Linked DNA regions of Caenorhabditis elegans. The protein of the gene in region 1 interacts with the protein of each later gene in a pairwise test. Each region holds a gene or a part of one and is shown in the gene's direction. Other genes may lie near its edges. The genes, in order: Y106G6H.13 and rmd-3.

Region 1 (3,150 bases):
TCGTGGGGCCTCGCTCCGCCACCTCTGATAGTGAAACTGTGCTCACGGATTGATATTATATTACTAAAATTTCTGAAATTTCCAAAATTGAAAATTTATCAATTTTCATGAGCAGAAGAAAACAATATTTCTGCATACCGCCTGTTTGGATATTTGACTTCTTGATTCCAATATGATGGCGTTTCACGTGCCGGTGTCTCCCGTTTCGGTGTTTCTCGAGAATAAGAATAAGAAGCAGTACTTTTAGAAGTCGACGGTGTTGCAACGAAATTCTTTTTGATAGGCGGTGGAGATTTGATATCTTCTGGACTTTTCAGATTTTCGAGTTTTAAATTCTTGGGAGTTGATGAAAATCTGAAAAAAATAAAGAGAATTACAACAATTTTGAGAATAAAATAAATATCATACGTTTTTGTGGGAGTTGTCTTGTAGAATGGAGACGTTTCCTTTGGCTTTGGGGATGAGGAAAATATCGATGATTTCGGAGAAAGCAACTCCCTCGAGCAGTTTTTCAGGTTAATTTGTGGTTTTATGACGAAAGATATCTTCGAACGATCCATTTGGTTAGTTGGAGTGTGTTTTGGTGTTGAAGAAGCGTATGGAGAAGGAGTCAGCGTATGTTGAAGATTTACCATCTTTTTCTGTTGATAATCAGCTGATTGTTTCCTCTGTAGATAGTTTTCCAAGTCTTCAGAACTGAAAATAATAATAAAGTTTAGTTTTTTTTTTAATTTATTTAGGCTGAATAAAAAACATCATGAGTTTGTTTGATAATCCTGAAAATCACCTAATTTCGGCGTACTGAAATTTGAAACAATATATTTAATCAAAAATTAGTTTAATTAAAGAATATAAAATTCACCTGAGAATGCATCTAAATTAAGTTTTAAATGTATCTCGGCTCTAATTTTTAATTAAATAAATTAAAATATGCCACGATAGAGTATTTTATTGAACTGCCATGTTCCTTACTACTACACAAAGCTGCCGTATCCCATGGAGACGTGCGTAGCAGGACATTCTCAACTTACTTTTTTCCATGATCAGCGGAATTGCTGCTTTTGTTGGAGGAGAAAGTTGCAAGATTCCGTTTTTTTGGATGTTCCATTACTGAAATATTTATTGTTTATTTTTTTAATAGCCATACAATTTAATTTACCATCTTTATTGGCTTCAATCATTTTATTAAACTGATTTACAACCCATCCCATGTGCCTGTGAGCATCGTGGCTTGTGAATTCAAGTTTGATATAACTGAAAATTATATTTATTAATTGAGAGTGTGATTTTAAGTTTGAGATTATTACTAATTTTCACTTTAAACAGAAATTCTGGAATATTTGTAAATTGGCAAGAAATTATCGAAAATTAAAGAGAAGTATCTTTACAATGGTATTTTATAGATATAGCAGGCCGCAAAAATGTTTTTTGTAGAATTTCAATTCTAAAGGAGCGATTTTTTTAAAAATATGATATTTCATTTAAAAAAAATTAAATCACCTTTCTTCGCACTGTTTATTCAACTCAATGTTCAACAATTTGGCTCCCGTATGTGAATTATCCGCTATCGGCTTGTACATCATTTGTGTATAGTAATACTCTTTGTCTCCTCCTCCGGGACACCTGAATCTGATAGAATCCGATGTGAATTCGATTTGTCTCTTCAACATTCTTATAGGTGTGATGCGAGGTCTTGTGATGGTCACGTCAATAAAGAAGTTTTCCAGCATCTGAAAACAGGATATTTAAATATATTTTAACGTTGAAATTTGAAACAAAAGCAAAATAGTAATTATTATACATACGTGACATTCTAATTGCTTATCAATAAAACTAATCTGGCAAAAAAAATCTCCCCTCCCGTGAAGTGAAATCGAAAATCAAATTATTTCGATTTTAGTCCAACCCTAGGAACACATTTCGATTCGCATCAAGTAAGTGCTTTAACAGGAAATTCTGTGAAGGCAAGCGGTAGCTGAGATCAGTGGCAAGAAGAATTTCTTTAGAACATCCTAAAGAGCTGCTGAAACTCTTTGACTGAAATTTTGTGATGTGCTGGTAGGAGATTCTTCTAGCCACTGCTATTTTCTAACATTTATTTCTTCTTGATATTCCACTATAATCGGAATCTCCTATCTAATATTCATTTAAAAAAATGAATAAGTATTTTGCAGCTCACTCAAGATGGCATACGTCGAGAGCTTCTACATGGATGCTAGTTTGGAGAGCGACGCCGACGTTCTTCCAGCATCGGAGAGTGATATGTTTGAGGCACAATTCATTGCCGATGTCCCACTCGACGGCGACGCGATCATTCGTATCGTTGATTCACAACTCGCTTTTGAGCAACGCAACCACGTTGTGTCGGACTATTGCACCATGAAGGCCGCGGAGCTCGAGAAGAACCCGAATCAACTGACAATGAACAGCTCAGTTATGGACAATCAGCAATATTTTGCCCCGCCAAAAAGTGAATCGTCGCAATATGCATGGAACACGAATGATGTTGTCTCTTCTCATCATCAATATGCTGCTCAGAGCCCAAACATCTACACCAACGACTATCACACCAGTGAACCATCCGATTATGCCTATATATAACTTGATGGAATGAGTAAACATTTGTATTTTGGGTTTCTGTATTTACTCGTTATTCAGCCGCAAAATTAGAGAAATCTAGACTTTCGCGACGAGACCCAGCTTATCTATTTCAAGGTGGTCGTAGAATCGTTTAATTTAAGACTTCTCAATCCCTATTCACACATTAAAAAGCAAAACTACGATACTTGAATAGCATTAGTTCTGAAATAGAAAGATTAAAAGTAAAGAAAACCTCGATTCAAACGAGTATTTGAAAAAGGAGAATAGAGGGAAAAAAAAGTTTATCACAGGTTGGGCAAAGTTTCAATAAATATCGACAAGTGTTTGAGAAATAATTACAAGATGTCAAAAGGAATAAATATTGCAAATTTAATAGTCTTAATCAGCATCCGAGTCTGACAAATATTCAGCATACTCTTCTTCATTCACACGATCCTCTTTCATTGCTTTGTCTAGAAGAGCAGCGATATCAGCATCCTGGAATTATTTTTTCTATAGAAAACTTCTATAAAAAACAATATTTACTTTTGTCACATCACTCGGCAGCTT
Region 2 (3,605 bases), on another chromosome or scaffold:
CTTGGAGTCAGACCACGAATTTGTAAGGTTTTTTGATTCAAAACTTTAATTCTCTGACTTGAGATATCAGGCAGTAGGCACAAGTTAGGCAAATTCAGCCTTAAAGACGGTCAGATATTTTTGTGACTGCCCCCATGAAACTTTTGAAGCTCACAAATTGTAAGGAATAGTTGAAAAATTGCTAGCTCGCACAATAAAAATGAAGTGCCGTACCTTTCCCAATTAGACTTTCTCTACCTTGTTCTACTTTGACGGCTTATATCTCGGTTGTCTTTAATTTTATCAAAAAATGCTCAACTAACAAAGGACGGGAAAAATTCTTCTCTACATTTTTATAGTTAAATATTTTTTGATAAAACTTATGACAACCAAGATATAAGCCATCAAAGTAGAGCAATTGGGGTGCAAGTTGGATAGGGAAAATACGGAAAGGTTTCTGAAGAACCAACCCGGGTGGAGTACTGTAGAATTATCTTCAATATATTCTGTAGTAGCCAGTAAAACATCACCAAAATAAAAGTCTGGAAATTTCTTTTCAGACATTTTCTACGAACTGATCTTTACAATCAGCTTTATGAGCATTCTGGTAACGCTTGTAGTTATGGCTCTCAGTCGTGTCAAACGAAACGTCCCACCATCTCATCGGCTATTCCTTTCAGCGAAATTGGTAAGCGCTTCCCTAACTCAAAATCTAACAAGAATCTTCAGATAAACCGAGTTGTATGCTGTATTGAGCCGGAAAGAAGTGATGCTTATCATCGCTACGTGGAAGAGGACACTCCGGAAAGCCGAACTACAAGCGAGGTTAGTCAGCAGCAGTCGGTGATAAGACCTGGCGCCGAGGTAGAACTTAGGTCCTGAATATTTGGAAACTTATAAATTATTGTTTCAGCTCGACTACACTCAGGATTGGCGGCACATCTATTTGGCTATGAACAACATGTTCTCGGCTTTGATGTTCTCCGTTTTTCTCTTCATGACTTTCTTGGAATTCTTTTAGAACGCGGAAAGTTTTAAACTTGCTTATCATCATTTTAAAATTTTTTTGTTCACCACCTGAGCCTACGCACTGTAAAAAAATCTGTCAATCTGTCCTGTTTTCCACGCCTTATTTTTATACTTCAAACTTGATTTATACAAACTTTCCATTCTCTCCCGTACCGGAAATTTCTGTCCCATTGTGATGCCTACGTATCTGTAATATTTTTTGCGATAAAATTTTTAAAATAATTTTTTTCATAGTCTGATACACACAATCAAGTTCCGGCTTCAGAGCCATGGGAGTACGGTAGTGTCGAAGACTTTTGCACGAAGCACTTATCTTTGGACTTACATATTTTCAGCAATTCTACAAAATGTTTCAACACTTTTTTAAATCAAAAGTTGGTCAAAAAAATATAGAAAGTAATTTTTAATTCATTGAAAAAATTCTTAAAAACCCTGAAAGGTGCAATTTTCCAGTTACCTAATTATCGAGCTTTGTTTTTGCCAATTTGCATTTTATTTTAATTCCTTAATATTTCACGCTAAAAAAACTTGAAAGGATTTAATTTATTTTCCAATAAAAATTTCAAATAATCAAATTTTTGAAAAACCGTGGCCTCCCTATTCCCTAATTCTTGCAACGTGGCATTCCACAGACTCCACCCCTTCTTGAACTTCCAAATCAATTATTTCCCGTTGTTAATCAACACCGATCAACCACACCATGGTAAGTTCTATCGAGTTTCAAAAAAAAATTTCATCGTTTTTTTTTTCAGAATTTTGATGAAATTGACAAGACCTTCGGAACCAAAAACCGTGATCAAGGATATGATTTGCTCAAAGCGGTAAGTTTTAGATATGGAAGATATTAAGGCTCCCATGATAAGCACATGGGCCTGCCTTTAACCTGCCTGCCACGTGAATTCACATAGTTCTAATTTTGTGATTCCACTCGTTTTGATGAATGTCTAATCACGAAATAAAAAAGAAGTTCACGTGCAGGCAGGCGAAGGCCAGACAGACAGGCGCTTTGCCGCCTACATGAGAGCCTTAAGAGATGTTATAAAGAATATAGTTTCATTGTTCATCTCTTTCTATTTTCAGCGTCTCGACAAAGGCGATCGTTCGGTGGAAGTCTTGTGGAGACTTGCTCAAGTGATTCATGAGAAGTCAGCTTGTGTTCCAAAAGCTCAACGCAAGGCAAGTGTCACTGAAGGACTCAAGTTTGCCGAAGAAGCTGTCCAGAAGGATCCAAACCATTTCAAGGCATTGAAGTGGAATGCAGTGTTGACTGGACAAGCAACCGAATACATGGCAACCAAGGAAAAGTTGGAATGCAGTAAGAAGTTCAAGGAATTGCTCGACAAAACTCTTGCCAAGGAGCCAAAGGACACAGCTGTTCTCCATTTGCGTGGCCGTTATAAGTACTCGGTGGCGTCTCTGACATGGCTCGAGAAGAAGCTTGCTGCCACTTTCTATCAGCAACCACCATCGCATTCGTATGAGGAGGCCAACGAGGATTTCCTTGCTGCTTACAAGGTCAATCCGAAGTGGATGGAGAACACTTTCTACGTGTCCAAATGCTACGTGGCTATTAAAGACAAGGTAAGGAAGCTTCATGCAAATTTCTAAAAAATAGTTAATAATTCCAGGCCAACGCTCGCAAGTATCTCACTGAAGTTTGCGACATCGAGCCGTATTCGGACGCTGAGCAGGAGTTTGCCGATGATGCGAAGCAGATGTTGTCGAAGCTTTAGGCTTCAGCTTCCACATGACAAGTCGAGCCAGAATATTTAAATAACGTGCACAAATGCGTTGTAGTATTGTAGAAATGTAGAGAATAAAAAGTTTAAAAGATTTACTGGGTTGGCATGCAAAGAATCATAATGTTAACAAGGATGGCAGCACATTCACTTTCAGGATTAACCTTTTCCACTTTCGAATATTTTAAAATGTTCTCTTCGAAGCAGATGAATGTTTCAACATTTGCCAATAGCTTAAGGTTTCCAAACTTGCCATCTGAAGTAACAAGTATAAATTATGATACTTTATTTAACAATTTCAGATTAATTATCTTTTGTATCTGCGTTATCGTTCCAATCTGATTCATTGGATTTTAACGATACTCGAAGAAAGCCCATTTTGCCTTCAAATCTACTGATGAGCCATCATAGTTTTCAACCAACTCTGCCCTCGATTGTCTATCTTCCATTCTCACCAAGTTTCAACAACTTTATTCAGTCATTCTTCTCTGGTTCATTTCCCAACCAATCTTCCCGAATAAAGCCCATCTGTCCTTTCGGCCACATTCCTCACCTACATCCGTACTCCTTATCTCCCGTTCTTATCCAGTCTTTTATCGTCTCTGCGTCTCGCACACTGTCTCGTCGGTAATGTAAAAAAAAAACAAAAAAAACTTGAAAACTTGCGGAAAGATTTCCTAATAAAAGGAGACGAATCCGGTAGGAAATCGACAAGTCTCTGCTTCTCGAAGACTAGGTGAGTTACATTTCTTTGGCCGAATTATTTTGAAATCCTAAATTTGATAATTTCAGAGATGTCTGTAAAACTTGCGTGTTATGTGACGGCTTCGGTCACTGTCGCCACTCTTATGGTATGCT

The links.
Region 2: the proteins of Y106G6H.13 (region 1) and rmd-3 interact in a two-hybrid assay, tested with the Caenorhabditis elegans proteins (one large-scale study listed by BioGRID).

Annotation. Positions count from the first base shown.
Region 1 is NC_003279.8:10,469,327-10,472,476, forward strand, and holds Y106G6H.13 (Reverse transcriptase domain-containing protein), read left to right. Parts: upstream 1-2,184; coding exon 2,185-2,601; downstream 2,602-3,150. Other genes in the region: duo-3 (ubiquitinyl hydrolase 1), read right to left, coding at 139-354, 409-696, 1,032-1,110, 1,160-1,254, 1,501-1,730; Y106G6H.14 (Osteoclast-stimulating factor 1), read right to left, coding at 2,980-3,078, 3,127-3,150.
Region 2 is NC_003280.10:11,337,686-11,341,290, reverse strand, and holds rmd-3 (Regulator of microtubule dynamics protein 1), read left to right. Parts: upstream 1-1,683; 5' UTR 1,684-1,708; coding exon 1,709-1,711; intron 1,712-1,760; coding exon 1,761-1,829; intron 1,830-2,088; coding exon 2,089-2,589; intron 2,590-2,636; coding exon 2,637-2,741; 3' UTR 2,742-2,840; downstream 2,841-3,605. Other genes in the region: lgc-20 (Neurotransmitter-gated ion-channel ligand-binding domain-containing protein), read left to right, coding at 1-22, 540-667, 709-843, 893-1,000; Cuticle collagen sqt-1, read left to right, coding at 3,542-3,605.